7 linked regions of the Callithrix jacchus genome follow. Each later gene encodes a partner of the first gene's protein in a complex. Links are inferred from orthologs where the notes say so. Each region holds a gene or a part of one and is shown in the gene's direction. Other genes may lie near its edges.

Region 1 (3,500 bases):
ATTTTTGTTTGAGAATGCTCTGTGATTGTAGGAAAAGCTTGACAAAGCACCTGTGAATTTGTGTTACTTTCTTAGCAAATAAAAACATACCAAATAAAGCATCTTGTAATAGTTTCAAAATTTTATGGCTGTTAGACCTTCTGATTTGTATTATTGAATTATTGGGGCTAAAGTAAGATATGATATGTTAAAAAGAGATATATCAGAAATTGATTACTAAAATACATATAATCATTTAATTCTTCTCTTTCTTGTATTATTTTTCAAATCGTTATTTTTCAGTATATCCCAGTTCCTGATATTAATAAACCCCAGTCAACCCATGCCTTTGCAATGACTTGCATTTGGATTCATCTCAATAGGAAAGCTCAAAATGACAACTCCAAGCTACAGATTCCAATACCTCATTCCTTAAGACTTCACCATGAGTACGTTATTAGTTGCTTGATATTTAATTTTCTCATTTAATTAATAGTGGATTGCAGACTAATATTGGTGTCAGTGTCTGTGTGAAATTTGGAAATCTCCCCATACCCACTAGAGGTAAGGGCGAATACTTGATGTATATGTCATAGCAAGAGAATCTGGCCAGTACCTGTATCAGGAAACAGCTACAAGATTAGTCTTGCTTGTATGGTTTTTTTTTTTTTTTAAATTTTCATGGCTGATCTTCAGTTGTGTATTTAAAGTTATTGATATAATGAAAGCATATCAATTTTTATAAATGTAAAAATGTTTCAGAATTTCTCAAGTGCTTGGAACTTGAGCATGAGCTGACTGAGATATCACTCATCACTGGGCTGCCAGGATTGATTGAGCTGATCTGGCTGGCATGACCCTTAATATCTCTTCCAAAGTTAATATCTCTTCATAGAAGATGGCAGGGTAGTCAGACTTGATAATTTCATTTGGTTTTCATTTTATGAGATACCCCTTAACCACCTTTTCATAGTGATATCTGTAATGAAGACATATTGTTGTGTTTATAGAGAGAGATAATAAATAGAATCCTGGTTCATGAACTTGTGAGTTATTTCTTCATTCTCTGAAACTTAGCCTAATACGGTGGCTGTATATGTTTGTAGTATATACTTAACAGATAATTATTAATTGTTTATTCAAAATTATTTTTCTTCTGAAATGCTACCCAAATGTCTGTGTATGTTCCCACTCTACCTTTCACACAGAAACTATAATACCTATAGGAACAAAGATAGCATTAATAAATAATTGCATAAAATTGAACTTTTAAAAAGTACAAATTAACATTATGGAAATAATTTTCATTTTTTCTTTTTAATGGAACGTGAATTTTTAGGTTCCTGCAGCAGAGTCTGAGAAATAAAAGTTTACAGATGAATGACTATAAGATTGCCCTATTATGCAATGCATACTCTACAAATTCAGAATGTTTTACATTACCCATGGGAGCTCTGGTGGAAACTATTTATGGAAATGGAATTATGAGGATACCTCTCCCTGGAACAAACTGTATGGCTTCAGGATCTATTACCCCCTTACCTATGAACCTCCTGGATTCACTGACAGTTCATGCCAAAATGAGGTATGTTCTTTTTATTAATTTGGTTCCTCGTCAGGTAATTGCTAAGAGTATAGCATAAACCTTTATTTCATGATTGTGTATATTATTTTATGTTCAGGTACATTTAAGAAAATAATAGCTTTATTTTATTACAAAAGTGAATATTTCGTATTATAGGAACTCTAGGATTAACAAACCCAAAGAAAGCAATTGTTATAATCTCTCCATGAGAGATAAGCATTATAAAAATTTTTTGCACATATTCTTTTCTTTTTCTGTGGATGGTTAAATACGAGGACCAGTGTCACTAGAGCTTCCAACATTTTTGAGAAAGGCTAGAAATCCAGATTATTTTACTACTAGTCTTTCAGCTTTTTAGTATTGGCTCAACTTTTAAAACAAACACTGTATAGGCCAAAGAGAATTTATCTTTGAACCTCCAAGTGGAGCATCAGTTCTAGTAGAGCTATACTCATTTTCAAATGGTAACTATTGTGATAGAATTACACGTGCTTCACTTGCATATATAACAGATTTGAGCAAAGCCCCATTAGTACCTAACATTTGGGTCTTTGCAGTGATTTATTAAAGTAAAATCTGTGACAAAGTTATTTCATTTCCCAAATGTATTTTGATGCATCATTTGAGTGACCAAAATCCTTTAAGCATGCTCTTAGGAGTTTTGTTTGTTTGTTTGTTTTTGTTTTTGTTTTTGTTTTGCTCTTAGGAGTTGAACCCAAAGTTTGTTTATCCATGATCAGGGGGATACATATGCACATTGAAAGCACTGTAGAAACCAGAGTGAGTCTCAGGTTTCTAAGACTAAGGATGTGGTACATCCTTACCAAGGGTCCTGCACAACTTAAACACATTAAATGAATCAACTTCATTTGAATCATTTAAGTTCAAACGTATACTAAGTTCCTTCTAAGTAGAGTAGCCCCTGTGTTTATGTCAAAAATATGGATTTTTATTTTCTCCCCTTTTTTCTTCTCAGCCTTATTCACAGCATTGCAACCAGGGTGATAAAACTTGCTCATGCAAAATCCAGTGTGGCCTTGGCTCCAGCCCTAGTGGAAACTTACAGTCGTTTATTGGTCTATATGGAAATAGAGTCTTTGGGCATCAAAGGATTTATCAGTAAGACAGGACTTTGTGGTGTTTATAACTATTAACACATTCATTAACTCAAAAGGTACTTTTCTAGGTCCTGGGGGCACAGCAGAGAACAAGTCACCACCATGATGGAGCTTATGGAGGGGGACATTAAAGTAAATAAATGAAATATGCAATATGTCAAATGTTATATATCATAGAGAAAAGTAAAGCAAAAAAAGAGGAATAGGAAGTGTGAGGGTCAGGGGGTTTGTGGCATTTTTAAGTAAAGTGGTAAGAAAAGGTTAACGTGCTACTTGCCTGGGATGCAGTGAGCAGAGTAGACATGGTCCCTGTCCATATTCAAATGGATTCTGCCCGAAGCAGTAATGCTGTCCTCCAGTGCATACTGAGGCTGACTGGCAATAAAGAAGGAATTTTCCTGCATTGCAGAAGATACATTATAATGTCTTTTAGTTATTATATAGTTCAAAATAATACATACTTTCTAATATAGACATTTTTTCTGATTCATGGTAATTACAGCTTTTCACCAATGCAGCATAGTTTTGATTTTAACTACAGTAAGTCTTCTTAAATAACTGAATGTTGATGAAAACTTTGTTGGGGGTAGGAGGAAACAAGGGCAGGTGTAATACAATTTTTGTATTAAAAAGTGAACCTCATACTTCAAAAGGTATGGAACATTAACTGTCTCAAAATAATTTAAAAGATAACAGAATTGAGAGTTTTTTTTCATATCTTGTCTCATTTTATTTTTCCAGATATATCAGTTGCCAAATTCCAGGAAAAAAAAAAAAGCAAACTCGATATTATAATTAGGATCTGAATTTTTCCTTAC
Region 2 (3,500 bases), about 88 Mb from region 1:
TCAAACTCCTAGCCATAAGGCATCTTCCTGCCTTAGCTTCTCAAGTAGCTGGTCTCAAACTCCTTAGCTCATGGGATCTCCCAGCATCGGCCTTCCAACGTGCTGAGATGACAGTCTCAAAATCCTAGCCATAAGCCATCCTACTGTCTCAGTTTCTTAAGTAGCTGGTCTCAAACTCCTGAGCTCAAGGGATGTGCCCACGTCGGCCTCCCAAAGTGCTGAGATGAGAGGCATGAGCCACCATGCCTGGCCCTTGTGCTCTTTGAGTGCTGTTTTGTGCAATTTGAACTCTAAAAGCAATGTTTCTCAGAGGGTTAATCACTGACTAACCACATCAAAATCACCTGGAATACATGTTAAGAGTTGCAGATTCCTGGCCCTGTTTACTGATTGACTGCTGCTTAGGCCACATAATCCACATTTAACAAACATCCAGACAATCCTCATGCACTCTGAAGTTTGAGAAAGACAGGTCTCGGGCCCAGAAGTCTTTATTTATTGTTTTAGAGCTTTAAGAGTTTCTAGAAGTTTCTGTTTACCTATACCTAACCATTGGCCTTGGCCTCCTTACTAACATAGCATAAATTAATTGTTCTCTTTAGTGTATTGGGTGGTGGGATGGTCTGTGGATGATGGGGGATGGTGGTTGGGAGGGAGAGAGGATTTTTTTTTTTTCTTTTTAGAGTGAAAGACTCACTTCGTTGCCTGGCTATACAGTGGCATGATCCCAGCTTACTGCAAGCTCTAACTCCTGGGCTCAGGCCATGAGAGAGACTCTTTGGATATGAGTTAGGGAAGTTGTTTCTCTTAGTCTTGGCTCTGCAGTAACTTGATCTTGAACAGTTCCATAGCATAGTGGTTATGATTGGGGAGCCAGAGTCCTGAGTCACGGCTTTGCGACATACTAATTGTGTACCTGTAGGTAACTCCTATAACCTATCTGTGACTGTTTCCACGCCTCTCATGTGCCTGTTTCCCTTAGATCCATTTCTTTCACTTCCCCTGCAAGCTGTATTTTCCAGGCCCTCTACTAGTTGGCTTTGGTTATTGAGAGGTGCCGAAGAAGATTAGAGGACGGAGGTTACAATGAGCCAATATTGCACCACTGCACTCCAGCCTGACGACAGAGTGAGACTGTCTCAAAGAAAAAAAAAGAAGAAAAGAAAAATGTTATTGTCTTTAATACTAGAAGTGCCTTTTTCATTAAACACACACAACCCTTCCCCTTAGTTGACTTTTAAGATATTTCTAAGACAGTAACACTTGCAGACTCATATGGTATGAATAAAATATGTAATTACAGTGAGTAGACATGAGAACAGAATGATGAGATCAGCTTTGGATGGATTTTTTTCTTCAGAGTCAAGAAGTTTTGAACTGGATTTAGAAGGAGGTGACAGGTGGGAACTGTCAGCAAGCAGTCAGGAGATGGGATGTGGCCTGGAGGATCTGTGTAGAGCCTGCTGTGTTCATGAACAGCAGCTTATATAGGGAAGTCACATGCCCTCTGTTCCCCCACCCCCACACCCTTTTCATTCCCACTGTCTTGCCCCCTGCCTAGAATGTCTTCTTTCCTTCCTGTGGCTGAATCCTACCTTCTCTTCATATCCCAGTTCAAATCATGGTAGACAAGACCTATCACAGCTTGGCTCCCGTCTACCTTCCCCTTACTGCTTCCATAGGACCATTTACTAGCTCTCAAAGAGGGAGGAACCCAAGGTGAGGAGGAGTGCACAGAAGAAGGGAGCAGTTGCTTCCTTTGTCTTGCCCAAATGCTGTTACTTTCATTTTACTTATTGAATGTATGATAATATACAAAAGAGTATATGGAAAGTCTTTGTAGACTTGGAATTAGACTTTACATATAGACCATCTGTGAGCCCACCACTCAAGAATTAAACCACCGCCAGGTGCGGTGGCTCAAGCCTGTAATCCCAGCACTTTGGGAGGCCAAGGTGGGTGGATCACGAGGTCAAGAGATCGAGACCATCCTGGTCAACATGGTGAAACTCTGTCTCTACTAAAAATACAAAAATTAGCTGGGCATGGTGGCGCGTACCTGTAATCCCAGCTACTCGGGAGGCTGAGGCAGGAGAATTGCCTGAACACAAAAGGTGGAGGTTGCGGTGAGCCAAGATCGCGCCATTGCACTCCAGCCTGGGTAACAAGAGCAAAACTCCGTCTCAACAAAAAAAAAAAAAAAAAAAAAAAAAAAGAATTAAACCATCATCAAAACTATTAAAGGTCCCTGTGTGCCCCTCACTGTTTTCGGTAGAGCACGGTGGATTTTACCACATGCTGCCTCTCCTGCTATTTCTGTCCTTACCTTTCTAGAAAAGGCTGCAGTGAGAGGATTCCGCTCATGCCCCACCACGACTGCCTAGGTAGTGCCAGATTGCTATCTGGCCTCATTCCGGGGGGATTCATTTGCTTTACTCTGGGGTTTGCCAGTGAAAGTCTTGATGATGAGCAGGATCTCTGTCCCTTGCAGGTCAGACCGGGAAGCTGATGTATGTGATGCACAACTCAGAGTACCCATTGAGCTGTTTTGCCCTCTTTGAGAATGGCCCTTGTCTTATTGCTGACACCAACTTTGATGTGCTTATGGTGAAGCTGAAGGGCTTTTTCCAGAGTGCTAAGGCCAGCAAGATTGAGACCCGGGGCACCCGGTACCAGTACTGTGACTTCCTGGTGAAGGTGGGCACGGTCACAATGGGGCCCAGTGCCCGGGGCATCTCTGTGGAGGTAAGACCTTGGTGAAAATAGGAGCAGGATATGCTAAGGGGGCTGTTTGGTAAAGGGCTCTGAAGATTTTCCAGTCCTTTATTTTGTTTGAGACAGAGTCTTGCTCTTTCACCCAGGCTGGAATGCAGTGGTGCAGTCTTGGCACACTCCAGCCTTGATTTCCAGGGGTCAAGTGATCCTCCCACCTCAGCCTCCTAAGCAGCTGGGACTACACCCACCTAATTAAAAAAATTTTTTTTCAGGCTGGGTGTGGTGGCTCACGCCTGTAATCCCAGCACTTAAGCTGAGGCTGGTGGATCAACTGAGGTCAAGAGTTGGAGACCAACCTGACCAACATGGAAGAACCCGCTCTCTACTAAAAATACAAAAAAAAATTGGCTGGGCGTGGTGGCACGTGCCTGTAGTCCCAGCTACATGGGAGGCTGAGGCAGGAGAATCACTTGAACCTGGGAGGTGGAGGTTGCGGTGAGCTGAGATCGTGCCACTGCACTCCAGCCTGGGCGACAAGAGTGAGACTCCGTGTCAAAAAAAAAAAAGTTTTTTTTAGTAGAAATGAGGACTTACTATGTTGCCCATGCTGGTCTCAAACTCTTGGGCTCAAGTGATCCTCCCACCTCAGCCCCCTAAAGTGCTGGGATTATAGTTGTGAGCCACCACACCTGGCCGTCAGTCCTTCTCAATTTAGACAGATATTTACCTGATCTCTAACTCCAAGGCATCTGTGCTGCTTCTCTGTGAATCGTTTATAATTTCTT
Region 3 (4,146 bases), on another chromosome or scaffold:
CAATGCATCTAGCTTATTTTCCAGGAATCTCTTTTGCAACAATATACTGTGAAACCTCCACTCTCCTCTCCACTAACCCTCCTCTGTTCCTCACAGGGATTTCCTCACTGTCACGGAAACCAAAGAAGCTTATTAATTACCTACACTTAAACTTTCCCTCGTAACTCTAAATGCTCTTCTTCCTTTCTTCTTCACACATGGTCACTACTGCCCAGGTTAGTACCTGACCTTTTTGGACACTTTCTGTTTATTGAGTGTCACCTGTCCCAGCCCACCCCACTCAGAATGAAAGTGGGCACCCAGTCTCCATATGGGTAGCCCCAACCTCTTCAGCTCAAAGGTGACAGAGAAGGCACCCTAATCCTGTTCTTCATGATTGCCTCATGAATTTTAATTTATTATTTTTTTAATTTTTAGGTTCAGGGGTACATATGAAGGTTGGTTAGAGGAGTAACCTCATATTTGTTTAAAGTCCATATTGTGACTCCCAAGTACTCGAGTTTGCTTGCTGTGTATATGCTTTGTGGTCCACTGGAAACCTTGTTAAAGGTTTTTTCTGAAAAATAAATAGAGAGTTACTACAAATGTAAAACCCAAAGTATCTACAAGATTGTCTGTGAGTTGCTAAACTGTTGAAGCTGGTGAAAGGTATGCGAGGGTTCACTACACTCTCTACTTTTGAATATGTTTGAAACTTTTAATAATATAAAGTTTATATTCAATAATGTTGACTATATTATTGAAACCTAGAAAGCAAAAGCAACGGAAGCTTTCAAGACGATATAAAAAAATTAATATAAACTAGGGGAGGGACAGCGGGGGGTGGGGAGTTGGGGAGGGATAACATGGGGAGAAATATAAGATATAGGTGATGGGGAGGAAGGCAGCAAACCACATTGCCGTGTATGTACGTATGCAACAATCTTGCATGTTCTTCACATGTACCCCAAAACCTAAAACGCAATAAAATATACATATATATATAAAGAAAAAATAATATAAAAATATCTAGTGTTCAATTTGGTCAGTAAATAAATACATGAGGGTAAGAGAAATCACTAAAAAAAAATCTCCGCAGAATCCAACAATCTCTGAAGGCTTTAACACCTAAAAATCTAAAGAAACCCCTCAAAGCAACTGGACCGCGACCATTCTTCCCCAGTTACTCAAAAAGATTCAGCCTCATCCAGCTGTAGCCCGCTCTAGAAAGGCCGCTCGGGGAGTCCCAGCCCCTCCTGACAGGGCGGGCAGTTCTCTCCGACCCCACCCCTTCCAAGAACGCAGCCCTGTGATTGGCCAAGACGCGTGCCAGAGCGGCCCAGTCGCGGAAGAGCAGCTGTTACGGCGTCTGTTTGTGTGCAAGAGAAACATGGCGGATCGGCTCACTCAGCTGCAAGACGCGGTGAATTCGGTGAGGAATTTCATTCGATTAACCTCTGTCCTTTTCTTTCCTGAGGTAAAGCAAGGGAGGAAAGGGGCCCAAAAGGCAAAACTTGGAAGTAGGAAGCGAACTGAGACACGGCTTCGGCATAAAGAGCGTGTCCCCCTTTATGGAGGGAGGCCCCACCGCGAACTTGGACGTTTGAAGCCGGCTGCCGTGCGAGGCAGCCTCTTTCGCCTGAGGAGACCGAGACAGGGAAGGTCGCTCTTGTCCGGGTCAGACCGCCAAGATTTGTGGGCTGCGCGGTCCTGTCGTGTTCCCTGAGGACAGTTTTATTATTAGTGGTGCTTACGGAATCTCTTTCTTTTGGGAGTTGGGGGAGAAGCCGAAGCTTTTTTCTTTCCTCATCAATTTTAATCCACCAAGGGAGGTCTCATGCTCTGGATGACTGGGTTTTTGTAATGAAATGTCGGCGCTTTCAGGTTGGTGCGGGAGCGAAGCTGAGGTGAGGTGAGAGATCTTTCGTCTTAGCTCGTTCCTATGGGCCCAGAGTCTCCTTCCATCTCTTGTCTCTTGGCCACCCTTTAGAATACATCAGTTTGGGGACATCTGTATGATAGGAAATCTTCTAATTCTCGCATACCTTTCCGTTTGAGTCCTTTTTTCTTTTTTCTTTGAGACATTGTCTCGCTTGGCCTCCCGAAGTGCTGGAATTACAGGTGTGAACCACCACACCTGGCCTGTAAACACTTTTTTAATGTCTCCCCCAAATTCTATTCTATTAAAGGCAAAGTCTTGTGAGTAGTTCCCCAATTTTGTTCCTTCTGGTTATTTTTCCTCCACAGTATTGCCTGAGTGGAAAGTAGATGCAAAGCCAAAGGATGCGTATACAATCATGAGTATGGGCCCTTAAAGAATGGGTTATGTAAACCGTAAATACATTAACCAGTAACAGTTAGTATCATTATCTGGTATTATGGACTCTACATAATTGTATGTGCTGTACTTTCATACATTGGCAGTGTGGTAGGTTGGTTTACACCAGCATCACTGCGAGCACTAAGTAATGCATTGCGCTACAGCGTTAGGACTGCTACGATGTCACTAGGCGGTAAGAATTTTCAGCTTTGTTCTAACCACAGGGGACTGACATAGTATCCTTTGATCAAGACGTCGTTATGAGGCTGTGGGTATACTTATTACCATTACAAATTACATAGTTTTCCGTTAAATAGTTTTTCCTCGATAGTTATGTTTCTCATTGTCTAATTGTGATTTAATGTCTTAAATAAGGGGCTGCAGAGAAAACATGCTGCGAGGAAAACCTAAGTACCTGGTCTCCTTGCCAGTTTTTTTTTTTTTTTTTCATTATTGCATTTTAGGTTTTGGGGTACATGTGAAGAACATGCAAGATAGTTGCATAGGTACACACGTGGCAGTTTGATTTGCTGCCTTCCTCCCCTTCACCTATATCTGGCATTTCTCCCCATTCTCTCTCTCCTCAACTGTCTACCCCCCCGCTGTCCCTCCCCTATTTCCCCCCAACAGACCCCAGTGTGTAGTGCTCCCCTCTCTGTGTCCATGTGTTCTCATTGTTCAACACCCACCTATGAGTGAGCTCATCCTCACTGGTCATTAGAGAAATGCAAATCAAAACTACATTGAGATACCATCTCATGCCAATTAGAATGGTAATCATTAAAAAACTCTGGAGACAACAGATGCTGGAGAGGATGTGGAGAAATAGGAACACTTTTACACTGCTGGTGCCAGTTTTTTTTTCCCCCACTCACTGTAAGCTAATAACTTGGTATTTTTGTTAATACATCAGGCTTTGCACACTTGAAGAGTGTGAATCTACTTGTGATAAACTGATATACTCTGGGTGATTAACAGTAGTTTTTAAGGCTGAGAGGACCAGTCTCTAAATGTTGACTTCATCAAGATAAATTCTACCCTGCAGGGACTTGCCTGGGCTGCCAGCCAGCCTCCTTCAGGGAACTACTCCTTCGAGGTTTTACAAAATCAAATTGTAATGATGCTGCTGGATAGAAATCTTATTTTAGGGAAAATTTCTTATATTCATGTATGTCTTGTAACTAGAAGGATAGTAAGAACAGAGTGAATATGGCCTTAACTTTAGGTTAAGCATACTGATAATTGGATTTTGGAGAGAAGCATTTAGGATAACTAGTATGAGTGCCTACTGTATATAAGCGCGATCATGTTTTCAAAGAGATACTCCTTCAGGAGGTTAAAAAATGTATATTCAGGAGACATTTAAGTGATGGAAAAACAGTTTGTGATTAGGGAGTTACAATGAATTGAGTGTTTTCAACTGCAGGTTCTGAAGTAAATTGGAATATGGAGTGATGTGAACCAAAATAGGGAGAATCTTCTTAAGCATTTATTCTAATCATAATTAATTATTTGTATAACTTTTAACAGTTGTTCTACCCTCTGAAAACTGAGTGCAGAAGCTATGTCTCATTTACTATGTGTTTATATACAATACTTGTCATAGTTATTTTCCATAAATTTTTGTTGACTAAATGGATCTTAAGAGCTTTTGAAGAATGGAACAGATAACCACTGTGTTGAATATTTTTGTGTCTTGTCTGTTCCTCACAACAATGTTGTAATATGAGAATGTATCCAATTTAAAAATGATAAATGCTACTTGAGTTAATAGAACTAGGATTAGGATCTAGACTTGTATAGCAGCTGAGCGCTTATTGCTCCATTACAATTAGCAAAACCTGGAC
Region 4 (4,078 bases), on another chromosome or scaffold:
AGGCACTTTAGGAGAAAAGTACTTTTATTACCCCCATTTTACAATAACTGAGAGTAAGAGAAATTAATTTGATCTAAGGCTATCTAGTGAGGGGCAGAACTTTTTCTCCAGGCTTTGGGCTTCAGATCTGGGCTCTTCACCACCACAGAGGAACAAATGGATGAATGAGAACTTCTTTTCAATTTATGACTGAAGAAGTGATATAGAAGAGTTTACCATTCATTTAACAGATACAATTACGTATCTGTAATACTTAATACAAGACCTAACTCACCGATGTTTCTAACTTCTGAGTCATATTTTTCTTCTTCTTTGTTTCTTGTAATCCTACAACCCTCAGAGAAACTGTCTTGAACTCTTATATTGAAATGTAACCCAGCCAAGCACTGAGTGTTTTATGGGAAAGAGAAGGAACCTTTTGCTTGGTTCTTACTTCTTATCACCCAGTCATTTGTAAATATACAAATATCAAGCACCTACTGTGTGCTAGGACCTTTTTTTAGGCACTAGATAGACACAAGTAAACAAAAAAAAGTAGTGAGACCTTTACATACACTAGTTCTGCTCCTCACAATAACTATATGAGGTAATGATGACAACAGTAATAGTAACCCTTAACAATGCTTATCTGTGCAGGGCACTGGGCAACCTGCTTAATTTGTATTAACTTATTACAATAAACCTGTGGGGTAAGGGGTATGTTTTCTTCATTTACAGATGAGGACACAGACACAGAGTAGGAAGTGACTTGCTCAAGCGTGGAACCCAGGCAGTGTGGCTCTAATTCCCAGCCTATTAACTACAGGGCAATATTTTGTCTCTTAAGTTTCTATCTTCATATCACAACTTTAAGGTGGCTGAGTCTTGTCCCCATCCAGATCGTCTGACTCCCAAGTCCAGAGGTTTGCGCTGCACCCCAGCAGCCTCGCGAAATAAATGAGAATGTCTTGGAATTTTTGCCAACACTTTCTCTTCCAAAGAACTCAAAATGATTTCTACGTAATTCTCATTGATTTGTGAAATGAACCTTCCTGGACTGTAAATTTCCTCGCAAATACACGGCCAGGGCCCCGGGTCATTTTACACTGGCCGAGGCACCCAGCAGATGGCGCTGTGTTAGTAGCCACCGGCTGGCTGCCCCGTCCCCCGGGCTCACCGCCTCGGCCGAAAGCTTCCCGGCGCTCCCTCGCTCACTTCTCTCTCCCCCTCCCCACGGAGTCCGGGCCCACGTGACCTCAAGGCGGCCAATGGGCGAGCAGAGAGGGCGAGCTGGTCCCTGTGGCCGCCATTAAAGCGAAGGGAAAACCCGTGAATTCGGATTAAAGGGGGAAAATCACCGCCCGCTGGGCCCACAAAATGGGGGAGACTACGGCGTCCAGGCGGTGAGGCCGCAGGAGGGCAGACATTAGACCGGCTCGGCTCAGGGACGACACGAAGACAGCCAGAGAATGGTGTGAGCCCGCAGACGCCGCCACCACCTCCGCCGCTGAGGAGACTCTGGGCTTAAGGACATCGCCGCTGCCGGGCCGGGGGCCTGGGCTCTCCCGGTTCTCGCCCTTTCCGCCTCTGTGCGGGCGCCTCCCCGCCCGGGAGAACCCTCTAGGGCTTGGGCTCTGCCGTCTCGGACTCTATTTTGATTATTTATTGTGTAATTTATTATTTTCTTGCGGTAGGGGCACACATCCCATCCGTCCCCCAAAGAGGGACAAGCGTCCGCGGGCTCCGCAGTCCGGCCCGCCAGGCGAGCGCGGCGCGGCCCTCCCGCCTCCGGCCCTCGGCCCCGGGCGGCTGGGTGCCGGCCGGGCGGCGGGGGCTGCTCCCGGCTGCGGCGGCGGCGGCGGCGGGGGGTGGGTGGGGAGGGCGGGCGGCCCGGCGGCCTCCTCTTCCATCGCCCCCCCAACCACTACCCCCCCTTCGCCCTCCCCGGTGTCTGTGTTTCTCTCTCTGGTCGGAGGCGGCGGTAATGGCGGATGGTGGGTTGTGGCGCCGGCGGCGGCTGCTGTGAGGGACGATGAGTGCCTCCTTCGTGCCGAACGGGGCCAGCCTGGAAGATTGTCACTGTAACCTCTTCTGCCTGGTGAGTGCCGGGGCCGGCGGGCGCCGAGGGAGGGGGCCGCGAGGTGCGCCTTTGGGCCGTGGGGGAGGGGGCCGGGTCTGGTCCAGATGCCCGAGTCCCCGGGCGAGGCCCAGCCGGAGCCGGCGCCCTGCGAAGCTCCATGGGCAACCCTAGGAGACGGTGTTCGCTCTCCCACGGTGCCGGGCTCTGTTTGGGGACTGTTGGCATTTTTTCTTGTCTTGTTTCGGACTCTCTTCCTCACCGTAGTCTCGTCCTCAACTTGGGCTCCTGATCTGGCAGAACACTAACCTTTCTCTCTGTCTTGCTTAACTGTTGCTTTTTTCTTTATTGGCCCGGTACTGTATCCTTGCTTCACGCTTTCCATTATTGCCCCTGCTCCCCACTGCCTTTATGTCTCACCCTGGTAATTTGGTTTCCCCATGTAAACAGGACCCCAGAACTTATGCCCTAGAAACCTGTCTTCGTTTTACTTTTTTTTTTTTTTTTTTTGGTATAAGTCAAGCTAAGGCAAGATTAGTTTCTTTTTTGGGTGACTTCAGATCTCTGTAAAAACCAGTAGGTGCCATTTCATATGTTTCTTTTTAAACTTTCAAAACAGTTTGCCGTTTTTGACAATTTCTAGCCATCTTGCCTTTATTAGAACATAATGTTTTTGTGAGAGTGGAGGAGGCTGATGGATGAGGTGCTGTGATTTTGCACTGTTTCTATATTTATTGTGTTTTGCTTGCTTTTTTAGAATGTTTTGAGCAGGCTGCTCCTTGTTTGATTGAAATGGAAAGTCGGGGGAAGCTGCATGTAGGGATGACCATTGTGTAAGTTAGCTCGGGTCTGGTAACATCCAACAGTTACGACTTTCAAAAGTACCAACTGTTGCAAATAACTTGTCCTGTATGGGACAGTAGCTGAGAGCTTCATCAATGACTTTAAGTTTGGGTGACTTTATTTTTTCATTTTCTCCCTTGTGCTATGAGAAGTATTAAAGAGTATGTGATAGGTAAGTGAGTCAAGTGGGCGGAGCACAACTAGTTGGCAAGTGTAAACTGCCAGTCATGTATCAGCAGTTTCATTTTTGGCACCTTATGCTTTGCTCCTTTAAGTTAGATTAAATAATTATTGAATTACTCTTGTCGAATTTCTTTCCGGATGCTAAATTGAGATCTTTAATACTCTTCTACAATATGTTTTTCTTTTCAATGTCCATTAATCAGCATCTCTTCACATATAGTAAGACATACACCGGGTTTTATATTTCTATGTTATCCAACGCAGTCTATTTTTGGTACTTTTAGGATCAGGTTCTTTGAAGATAGACTAGCACAAATCTCACAGTTCTTTGTGAGCGGCTATTTGACTTTTCCGATTGGGTGTGTGTGAAGAATTAACATGGATTTTTTTTCAGGACTTGTTCGGATGTCTCTTTGTTAGAGACATTAATCCTGTAAATGTGGAATAAAAACCCATGATAGGGTCTTTAATCATTGATTCTCAGTTAAAAGTTTCATACCAATGAACAAATGTGACCAGTTAGGACAGAGAAAAATGTATGTTCTGTGTACATATTGAAGTGTATGTCTATATTTAACTTCATTCAGTTTCTTTTGTTTCTACTGGGGTACATATTTGCTTATTAATCAGTGACATGGTGGTGGTTGTTAATTTTTAATAGTGTTCTTTTCCCTAAAATTCTTGGTTGTTGAATTATAAAGTCTTTTTTTGTCCTCATTTGCATTCAATATCTCTAGCATACATTGAAAAATTGTAACGCCTTAATGAAATAGAGACGTCATATTGAGTACTTTTGACTTTGAGTGAATGTGCAATAATAAAACATCATGCTTTCTTTCCTTCAGGCTGACTTGACGGGAATTAAATGGAAAAGATATGTATGGCAAGGCCCAACTTCTGCCCCTATTCTGTTTCCTGTGACAGAAGAAGACCCCATTTTGAGCAGTTTTAGTCGCTGCCTTAAGGCAGATGTACTTGGTGTTTGGCGGCGAGATC
Region 5 (2,976 bases), on another chromosome or scaffold:
ATATGCTGAAACCCCAACTTGAAAAAAAAAAAGAAGAAGAAGAAAATTAACTTTACTTGCAGTGAGCCAAGATTGTGCCACTGCACTCCAACCTGGGCGACAGAGCGAGACTCTGTCTCAAAAGAAAAAAGATGACACAAATGTCACATAGGGAGGAAAAGAGTATTGATACAAGAGAGGACTAATATTGAGTCCTAGTCCTCCAGTGTTTAGGGAAGATGAGAAACACCAAGCAAAGAAGACTTAAAAGGAATGGTCAGCGAGTTAAGTGAAGAACCAAGAGAGTTGTGTCTCAGAGGCCAAGGGAAGAATAGATTTCACAGTGGGTATAATCTACTATAACAACCATTTCAGATGTTGCCAAGGGGATGAAGATTCTATGAAGCAATTAATTCTCTCCTACTTAGATACAGAAGAGGAAAGCTTTTCCTGATAAAAAGGAAACTTTAGCTGGGCGCGGTGGCTCACGCCTGTAATCCCAGCATTTTGGGAGGCCGAGGTGGGCAGTTCACGAGGTTAAGAGATCGAGACCATCCTGGCCAACATGGTGAAGCCCCATCTCTACTAAAAAATACAAAAATTAGCTGGGCATGGTGGTGCATGCCTGTAATTCCAGTCACTCAGGAGGCTGAGGCAGGAGAATCGTTTGAACCCAGGAGGCAGAGTTGCAGTGAGCTGAGATCATGCCACTGCACTCTAGCCTGTGACAGAGCGAGACACCATCTCAGGAAAAAAAAAAAAAGGAAACTTTATATTTCTTCTATAAATGAAAGACTTTTATTTGTTGGAAATTGAAGGCAATTGTTAAAGTATATGACAACAAAATAGTGTTATTGGCTGGGCATGTTGGCTTACGCCTGTAATCCCAACACTTTGGGAGACCAAGGCCAGGAGTTCAAGACCAAGCTGGACAACAATGTAGTGAGACCCCATTTCTATAAAAGCAAATAAATAAATACATAGCTAAAACAGTATTATTAATTTTTTTTTTTTTGAGATGGAGTCTCACTCTGTTATCCAGGCTGGAGTGCAATGGTGCGATCTCTGCTCATCAAAACCTTCACCTCCCAGATTCAAGTGATTCTCCTGCCTCAGCCTCCCGAGTAGCTGGGATTACAGGCACGCGCCACCACACCCAGCTAATTTTTGTGTTTTTAGTAGAGATGGGATTTCACCATGTTGGCCAGGGTAGTCTCAATCTCCTGACCTCAGGATCTGCCCACCTCAGCCTCCCAAAGTGCTGGGATTTCAGGCATGAGCCACCATGCCCAGCCAGTATTATTACATTCTAGATAGACACTGTAGCTGATTAAAGGCTCTAAGTCCAAGGCATGTTGGAAATTAGCATTAGAGAAGGCCTAAAGACTTTGTAGTACTAAATAAGAAAATTCCAAAAAATTGAAAAGGAAAATAATAACTGTCTCACAACGTTATACAATATTTTGCTAGTGTAACTCCTCTAAAATCTCATGTGTTGGCCCTATGTGTTGTGAAATGCTTCACTAAACTGCTTTGGTTTTTCATTTTAATTTTTTTCAATTTTATGCTAATTCCATGACCTAAAAGGAAAGATAGGACTCAGAGGTGCTTTTTCCCTTTTCAGGAAGTGTTTTAGATCACAGTTTGGAAAGCCTCATCCACCGCCTTCGTGGTTTGTGTGACAACATGGAACCTGAGACTTTCCTTGACCATGAGATGGTATTCCTCCTTAAGGGCCAGCAAGCCAGCCCATTTGTTCTAAGGGCCCGACGCTCTATGGACAGGGCAGGGGCACCCTGGCATCTGCGCTACCTGGGACAACCAGAAATGGGAGACAAGAATCGCCACGCCCTGGTGCGAAACTGCGTGGACATTGCCACGTCTGAGAACCTCACCGACTTCTTGATGGAAATGGGCTTCCGCATGGACCATGAGTTTGTTGCTAAGGGACACTTGTTCCGAAAGGGCATCATGAAGATTATGGTTTACAAGATTTTCCGCATCCTGGTGCCAGGGAACACAGACAGCACTGAGGCCTTGTCACTTTCCTATCTCGTGGAATTAAGCGTAGTTGCACCCGCTGGACAGGACATGGTTTCTGATGACATGAGGAACTTTGCAGAGCAGCTAAAACCTCTGGTTCACCTAGAAAAAATAGACCCCAAGAGGCTCATGTGACTAAGAGAATCTCTCCACATTTGGGGCCTGTCCTTACTTGTTTGAAAAAATGTTTTAAATGCTCCATTTCACCACTGCCAGCATTCTTCCTTCAGGGAGGAGGATGCCTCGTGATGATTTCGTTTTCATGACAGCCTTTCTACATTAAAGGCTCAGGACATCACAGAGAATCTATCTAATCCCACTGTATAAAGAGGAGAAACTGGAGTAAATTAGGTTTTGGAAATAAAAATTTCTTGTTTGGCCATTTGTGTGTAAGGTTTATAACATTAGAGGCTGTGAGCTTGTGCTATATGGTAATAAAGGCAGTGGCCTCGAATTTTGTTTAGGAAGTCTTTATTTACCCCTAGGTAACACAGATTTTCCTTCTTAGCTTTATAGTTTTAACTTTCACATTGAGATCTTTAATTCATCTAGAGTCCATTTTCTAGGGGGTTTATAAAAACCCAGGTTTCTTCTCCTGGCAGTGAATTCGTTTTTCTACCACCATCCAAAGAACAGTGTTCAGTGCTTTGTGCTGCTACCATTGTCACATAGGTTTCCATGTAGGTATTTTATTTTTAAGTTCTCCATTTCATTTCATTTTTTTTCTTTGTTTCAGTGACAGCAACACAATGTTTTTATTATTAAGGCTTTATAGTAGAGCCAGTTCTACCAGTAAGGCAGGTACCCTTCCCTTTTTGTCCTCTAAAATGGACTTACAGTGTAGTGTAGTAATATTTCAAAAAATAATAATAAAAGAAAATAGACTTAGCATCCAGGTATGGTGGCTCATGCTTATAATCCCAGTACTTTGGCAGGCAGGACAAGAGGATTGCT
Region 6 (4,258 bases), on another chromosome or scaffold:
ATGGCTCACGCCTGTAATCCCAGCTCTTTGGGAGGCCAAGGCGGGAGTATCGCTTCAACCCAAGAGTTTGAAACAGGCCAGGGCAACATAGCGAGACCCCACCTCTACAAAAAAATTAAAAATTAGTCAGGAGTGGTGGTGCGTGGCTGTGGTCCTAGCTGCTGCAGAGGCAGGACAGTGGCTTCAGTGTGAGAAATAGAGGCTGCAATGAGCCAAGATTGCAATGGCCACTGCACTCCAGCCTGCACAACAGAGACCCTGTCTCAAAAAATAAAATTTAAAAAAAAACAATGAAGTGTTTCTATTTTTCTATACTGTTATTCATCGGTAAGATTTGTGTAGTACATTTCTGTCAACAAACACGCTAGATTTTTCCAGTTCGTGGTATATGTTTCAACTTGCTTTATGCAATCTTTTGCGGACAAATTAATATTTTACGTATTCTGACTTTGCTGAGAAACTTCATGGCAGTCATTAGGATTTTTTTCCTTCAGCTATTTTCGTGTTTTATTTGTTGCACTTATGTTCTTAATCCACCTGGAATGTATTTATGTTCTAGGCTAGTTTCTGGCTCCTCGCCCGGAAAACAACGCTCAGGTGTTGCTTAGTAACCCTTGCACTTGGGTTCGTGTTCAGCTTCTTTTCAGGAGGAAAACTACTATCCTCCCTTCCAAGTTAAGGGCAACCTTAAAGCGTTGCCTAGTAACCTCGTTTCCGCCATTGCGATTGGACCCTTCTCGCGTCCCTCCCCCCAGTCCCCGCGCACGAAAGAACAGAACCAGAAACTTAATCTCATGGTTAGAAAACAAGGGCAGCGGGCCGGGCGCAGTGGCTCACGCCTGTAATCCCAGCACTTTAGGAATCCAAGGCTGGCGAATCACTTGAGGTCAGGAGTTCGAGACAGCCTGGTCAACATGGTGAAACTCCGTCTCTACGAAAAATACAAAAATTAGCGGGGCATGGTGGTGGGCATCTGTAATCCCAGCTCCTGGGGAGGCTGAGGCTGAGGCGGAGCTTGTAGTAAGCCGAGATCGCGCCGTTCCCCTCCAGGGTGGGCGACAGAGTGAGAGTCCGTCTCGTGGGGGGGGGGGGGGGGGGAAAGGATAAAGGAAAACGAAAACAAGGGCAGCGTTAGTGTTGCATAGCAACCAGGTCTCCTGCCCCTCCCATTGAGCTAATAGGCGGGCCCAGACGCCCCGCTCAAAGATGGCAGCCGACTGTGCCGCCTTCAACTTATTTCGTTCTTGACAATCCTGACAATGATTTTGTCTAACCCATCAGGCCCCCCAAAAGGGCTAACTATGTCCTTGCTGAGTCTTCCACGGGTTAGGGCGAAGGAGGATGGAGCTAGATCGAAGCCTCAACCTGTGCCCCGCACAAATATGGCCGCCCGTGCGTTCCCAGCAGCCCTCAACCGCCCGGCGCGGGTGCGCGCGCAGCGCAGGCGCATTTCCCCTCATTCCGCGGTGTCGGCTGCGGCGGCAGTGGCGGTGGCGGCCTCCGCGCGGGGTATGGTCCCCGGGTCCGAGGGCCCGGCCCGCGCCGGGGGCCTCGTGGCCGACGTGGTGTTTGTGATTGAGGGTACGGCCAACCTGGGACCCTACTTCGAAGGGCTCCGCAAGCACTACCTGCTCCCGGCCATCGAGTGAGTGCCGTTTCCGCGACTCGAACCCCGCCCTCCCACTAGAGTTTCCCACAGCTTCTGGCCTGACTCCGACCTTTCACCTCCGACCCTCACAGGTATTTTAATGGTGGTCCTCCTGCTGAGACGGACTTCGGGGGTGACGTGAGTCTTGGGACTCCTGGGTCTGAGGGAGGAGGGGCTGGGGGCCTGGATTCCCGGGTGTGAGGGAGGAGGGGCTGGGGGCCTGGATTCCCGGGTCTGAGGGAGGAGGTCGGGGTCTGGACTCCCGGGTGTGAGGGAGGAGGTACTGGGGGCCTGGACTCCCGGGTCTGAGGGAGGAGGAGGTCAGGGTCTGGACTCCTGGGTCTGAGGGAGGAGGGGCTAGGGGCCTGGACTTTTGGGTCTGAGGGTAGAAGCACTTGGGCCGGTACCCCTGGGTCTGAGGGTGGAGGTGCTGCGGTCCAGACTCCCGAGTCCGAGTGAGGAGGGGCTGGGGGCCTGGACTCCTGGTCTAAGGGAGGAGGAGGTTGGGGTCTGGACTTCGGGGTCTGAGGGAGGAGGAGGTCGGGGGGTCTGGACTCCTGGGTCTGAGTGGGGAGGAGCTGGGCCTGGACTCCGGAATTTGAGAGAGGAGTGGCTGGGGACCTGTATTTCTGGATCTGAGGGAGGAGGGACTGGGGGTTTGGATTCTTGGGTCTGAAGGCGGAGGGGCTGGGACTTGACCCCTGTATGTGAGGGAGGAGGGGCTGGGCCTGGACTTCTGGGTCTGAGGAAGGAGGAAGCTGAGGAGTTCCTGATTCTGGAAGAACAGGAAGCTGGGAGCCCTGATTCCTTCTCTGAGGGAAAAGGGAATTGAGGTCCCAGATTAAAAGTTCCTCTGTCCCCACCTCCCAGTATGGGGGGACCCAGTACAGCCTCGTGGTGTTCAACACGGTGGACTGCGCTCCTGAGTCCTACGTACAGTGTCACGCTCCCACCAGCAGCGCCTATGAGTTTGTCACCTGGCTGGATGGCATTAAGTGAGCTTTTTCTCCACTTGGGCTGGGTTGGGGGACCCTGTGAGGGACTGTGAATGAGAGGTGGTTTGGGTTTAAGCTTCAAGAACCATCCCTTTACATTAGGCGATTGAAAGGGCTGTGAGGGTCATTGTGTTTTTGTCAAGAGTCACTTCTGTGGTGGGTTCTGTGTGCTCAGCAATGTTGCCATCCGGTTTAGAAGCATGAAAAACTTCCCGTTCAGGGAGGCCTGACTGAGCTCCAGCAGCCACCTTGTACTGAATGTGTGATTGTCCCCTTTCTGTCCTCTCTTTTTCCATCTGCCCTTGTTCTCCTCTTCCAGATGGGTACATTGTAGCCTCAGTGCAGAGGGATGGGTCAGAGCCAGGATACATCCCTCTGTGGCTTGGGTCGGATTGTTTTTTTTTTTTTTTTTTGAGACAGAGTCTTGCTCTGTCACCTAGGCTGGAGTGTGGTGGCCCAGTCTCAGCTCACTGCAACCTGTACCTCCCAGGTTCAAGAAATTCTCCTGCCTCAGCCTCCCAAATAGCTGGGATTACAGGCACCCATCACTATGCACACCTACTTTTTTTTTTAATTTTACTTTTGGTAGAGACAGGGTTTCGTCCTGTTGGCCAGGCTGGTCTGAAGCTTCTGACCTCACGTGATCTGCCTGCCTCAGCCTCCCAAAGTGCTGGGATTACAGGCGGGAGCCACCATGCCTGGCATCGGATCAGATTTTGATAGTTGATGTTGCAGACTCTGGAGTCAGGCAGCCTGGGGTCAAATCCTGGCTCTTCCAGCACCGAACTAACTCTCAGACCCAGGAGCCCTGTCCCCACTGTGCCTAGCCTCTCGCCTCTGAAGCAGGATGCGGGTAGTACTTGTGTTTTAGTACTTACTCTTAGCTGCATACAGGTCACCGCCAAACCTAACAGCTTCATACTGCAAGCGTCCATTATCTAACGCAGTTTCTGAGTCAGGGACACAAGAGTGACTTAGCTGAATGGTTCGGCTGAGGGTGTCACAAGGCACCTCTTGAGGGTGTCAAGAGGTCGGCAGGGTTGCAGCCATCCAAGGGTTTGACTGGTGGTGGGGAGGCCCCTCCCAGGGTGGCTGACGGTGGCTGTTGACCGCGAGACCTCTGCACGGAGCTTGACTGTTGTAACATGGCTACAGCCATTCCTCAGATTGAGTGAGCCAATAGAGAGCGCAAAGAGGAAGCCCCCAGGGCTCTTCTGTTTTTGAGGAAGGGTCTCACTCTGTCACCCAGGCTGGAGTCCAGTGGCTCAGTCACGACTCACTGCAGCCTCGACCTCCTGGGCTCAAGCTCAAGTGATACTCACGCCTCAACTTCCTGAGTAGCTGGAGTAGCAGGGACTATAGACACGTGCCAGTACACCTGGCTAATTTTTTTTTTTTGAGATGGAGTCTTGCTCTGTTGCCCAGCCTGGAGTGCCGTGGCACAGTCTTGGCTCACCACAACCTCTGATTCCTGGGTTCAAGTGATTCTCCTGCCTCAGCCTCCCGAGTAGCTGGGATTACAGGCACCTGCCACCACGCCTGCCTAATTTTTTGTATTTTTAGTAGGGACGGGGTTTTACCTTGTTGGCCAGGCTGGTCTTGAACTCGTGACCTC
Region 7 (2,323 bases), on another chromosome or scaffold:
ATCCCCGGCCGAGCCCCTCCTGTCCCGGGCAGGCTTCTCCCCAGACTCCTCCAAGGCGGACAGTGATGCTGCCTCCTCTGGGGGTTCGGACAGTAAAAAGAAGAAGAGGTACCGGCCTCGAGACTACACGGTTAACTTGGACGGGCAGGTGGCCGAGGCGGGCGTCAAGCCTGTCCGGTTAAAAGAGCGGAAGCTCACCTTTGACCCCATGACAAGACAGATCAAACCTCTGACCCAGAAAGAGCCAGTGCGGGCAGACAGCCCTGTGCACATGGAGCAGCCGTCCAGGACAGAGCTGGACAAGCAGGAGGCCAAGGCCAGCCTCCAGAGCCCCTTCGAACAGACGAACTGGAAGGAGCTGTCACGCAATGAGATCATCCAGTCCTACCTGAGCCGGCAGAGCAGCCTGCTCTCATCTTCGGGCGCACAGACCCCGGGGGCTCACCACTTCATGTCTGAGTACCTGAAGCAGGAGGAGAGCACCCGGCGAGGGGCCAGGCAGCTGCACGTGCTGGTGCCTCAAAGCCCGCCCACGGACCTCCCTGGGCTGACCCGGGAGGTCACACAGGACGATCTAAACAGAATCCAGGCCAGCCAGTGGCCGGGGGTGAACGGGTGTCAGGACACACAGGGTAACTGGTATGACTGGACGCAGTGCATATCGCTCGATCCTCACGGTGACGATGGGCGCTTGAACATTCTGCCTTATGTCTGCTTAGACTGACCGGCCCGTCAGCCACAAAGTGCATTCCCATCTTGCAGAAGCCAGGCGGGCAGGCAGGTGGGCGGGTGGCCAGGGCCCAGCTGCCTCCTGCGGCTGGGAACTCGGGGAGCCCGGCCTGGGCAGGAGGGAGGGGGCGGGAGTCATGTGGTCTCTCTGTGCACCCTTCCCTCAAAACTCTCCTTTTGTGAAATGCTGCTACCAGTTTACTAACAAAATTGCGAAGGAAGGACCGTGCGGAAGGAAGGACGGCAAAGTGAGTTCAGAACTCTATAGCAAACCAGCTATAAAAAGCGTTAGTCCCTCACCCCTGAAGAGGTGCGGACACTTTCCAGCACCTGAATGCTGGGACCTCAGTTGCAGGCAGGCACAGAAAACCTGTGGGAGAGGTTACCTTTAACACAGCAACAGAAGCACGCATCTCATCTCTCTTGCATTTCCTGTTCTTTAATTTGGCCCCGAGTGTCTGAGAGACAGTGGGCCATGCCACAGCCTCTGTTTGCCCCTACCCAGCCACTGTCAGGCCAGTGTTGTCCATCGTGTGCCAGAAGCTCCTCAGCTGTGGCGAGCCACTGGCATTGGGCAGAGAGGCCAGCTGGCTAACCAATATGACCCCAACTCCATGGGCAGCCACCTGTTTATATCTGGTTTCAGTTATAACCCAGTATTTACAGAAATGCTGCAGAAATTTAAGTTTTTTTGGGTTTAACTCCTCTTCCATCAGACCACCAAACAAACTTTTCCTTTCTTCCCCCCTTTCCTTTTTTCCCTTCCTGTACACATCTAGAAAACTTCACCTTTCTAGAGTCCCCCCTAAACAACACAAAAGTTACTGTGGGTGCTACTGGTTTTATGCTGTACTGTGGGGCGAGAGGGCAGACCTGTCTGTACGCTGGAAACACTCATAACCATTCCTTTAGATTCGTTTGCCTTATGGTTATTTGTCATAAACGCGATTTGCAAAAACAAGGAGCCTTAGTGAATGTACAGTACATAGACTTCTGTGTTCTCAGGACGCAGAAGGGAGCAACTTTGCTATTTGGTCCAGTAAGTGGACACCTTGTGATATAAATGTGGAAATAAAAAAACCCATTTGCACAAACCAGTATGAGAATCTTTTCTTATTTGGCCCTTCACTGCCAAATCAGCCCTTTCCTGGATTGTGGATTAGCCAGGAAGACCTAGACCCTCCAACAGCTGGGATATAGGGAGACAGGGTAGGGCATAGCCTTGAAATCCACCTGTTAGCCTGCTGCTGCATTTGGGAGGAACCTTTTATTCATTCAGGGGCACATTAAGGAACGTTTATCTTGTCTCACCCAGACCTGACTGGCGTAGAGAGCAGGCTCCATAGCACAGGTCTCTGACTACTCCCACCTCAACAAAGTTCTTACAAGGGATGGCCCAGAGGCTCAGAGCTGTGTGTGTGTCCGGCAGCCCAGCCCTTGGCCCTGGCCCTCAGCTGCCTTACTAGCTGGTTGGTGCTGACACCAAAAAAATGTTTCTCTCTTGGCTATGGAGTGGTAATATTTTAGTTGTCCCTCATCCCCAAAACTGTAAGCTAAGACTGGTTTTCTAGTTTCTCACTTTGGAATAGGTCAT

What was found.
Region 2: MED23 (region 1) and MED20 share a complex: the UniProt entries of both Homo sapiens proteins name them as parts of the mediator complex. The link is inferred for Callithrix jacchus from reciprocal best matches to the Homo sapiens genes MED23 and MED20.
Region 3: MED23 (region 1) and MED21 share a complex: the UniProt entries of both Homo sapiens proteins name them as parts of the mediator complex. The link is inferred for Callithrix jacchus from reciprocal best matches to the Homo sapiens genes MED23 and MED21.
Region 4: MED23 (region 1) and MED13 share a complex: the UniProt entries of both Homo sapiens proteins name them as parts of the mediator complex. The link is inferred for Callithrix jacchus from reciprocal best matches to the Homo sapiens genes MED23 and MED13.
Region 5: MED23 (region 1) and MED18 share a complex: the UniProt entries of both Homo sapiens proteins name them as parts of the mediator complex. The link is inferred for Callithrix jacchus from reciprocal best matches to the Homo sapiens genes MED23 and MED18.
Region 6: MED23 (region 1) and MED25 share a complex: the UniProt entries of both Homo sapiens proteins name them as parts of the mediator complex. The link is inferred for Callithrix jacchus from reciprocal best matches to the Homo sapiens genes MED23 and MED25.
Region 7: MED23 (region 1) and MED26 share a complex: the UniProt entries of both Homo sapiens proteins name them as parts of the mediator complex. The link is inferred for Callithrix jacchus from reciprocal best matches to the Homo sapiens genes MED23 and MED26.

What each region holds. Positions count from the first base shown.
Region 1 is NC_133505.1:138,246,474-138,249,973, reverse strand, and holds part of MED23 (mediator of RNA polymerase II transcription subunit 23), read left to right. Parts: intron 1-282; coding exon 283-428; intron 429-1,318; coding exon 1,319-1,564; intron 1,565-2,540; coding exon 2,541-2,683; intron 2,684-3,500. UniProt on the Homo sapiens protein: Required for transcriptional activation subsequent to the assembly of the pre-initiation complex. Component of the Mediator complex, a coactivator involved in the regulated transcription of nearly all RNA polymerase II-dependent genes.
Region 2 is NC_133505.1:50,414,872-50,418,371, reverse strand, and holds part of MED20 (mediator of RNA polymerase II transcription subunit 20), read left to right. Parts: intron 1-2,491; coding exon 2,492-2,745; intron 2,746-3,500. UniProt on the Homo sapiens protein: Component of the Mediator complex, a coactivator involved in the regulated transcription of nearly all RNA polymerase II-dependent genes.
Region 3 is NC_133510.1:44,221,742-44,225,887, reverse strand, and holds the start of MED21 (mediator of RNA polymerase II transcription subunit 21), read left to right. Parts: upstream 1-1,346; 5' UTR 1,347-1,369; coding exon 1,370-1,411; intron 1,412-4,146. UniProt on the Homo sapiens protein: Component of the Mediator complex, a coactivator involved in the regulated transcription of nearly all RNA polymerase II-dependent genes.
Region 4 is NC_133506.1:94,750,689-94,754,766, forward strand, and holds the start of MED13 (mediator of RNA polymerase II transcription subunit 13), read left to right. Parts: upstream 1-1,278; 5' UTR 1,279-2,011; coding exon 2,012-2,077; intron 2,078-3,927; coding exon 3,928-4,078. UniProt on the Homo sapiens protein: Component of the Mediator complex, a coactivator involved in the regulated transcription of nearly all RNA polymerase II-dependent genes.
Region 5 is NC_133508.1:65,007,660-65,010,635, forward strand, and holds the end of MED18 (mediator of RNA polymerase II transcription subunit 18), read left to right. Parts: intron 1-1,603; coding exon 1,604-2,157; 3' UTR 2,158-2,476; downstream 2,477-2,976. UniProt on the Homo sapiens protein: Component of the Mediator complex, a coactivator involved in the regulated transcription of nearly all RNA polymerase II-dependent genes.
Region 6 is NC_133523.1:43,593,207-43,597,464, forward strand, and holds the start of MED25 (mediator of RNA polymerase II transcription subunit 25), read left to right. Parts: upstream 1-1,458; 5' UTR 1,459-1,511; coding exon 1,512-1,645; exon of another isoform or gene 1,646-1,740; coding exon 1,741-1,786; intron 1,787-2,518; coding exon 2,519-2,643; intron 2,644-4,258. UniProt on the Homo sapiens protein: Component of the Mediator complex, a coactivator involved in the regulated transcription of nearly all RNA polymerase II-dependent genes.
Region 7 is NC_133523.1:15,191,303-15,193,625, reverse strand, and holds the end of MED26 (mediator of RNA polymerase II transcription subunit 26), read left to right. Parts: coding exon 1-724; 3' UTR 725-1,823; downstream 1,824-2,323. UniProt on the Homo sapiens protein: Component of the Mediator complex, a coactivator involved in the regulated transcription of nearly all RNA polymerase II-dependent genes.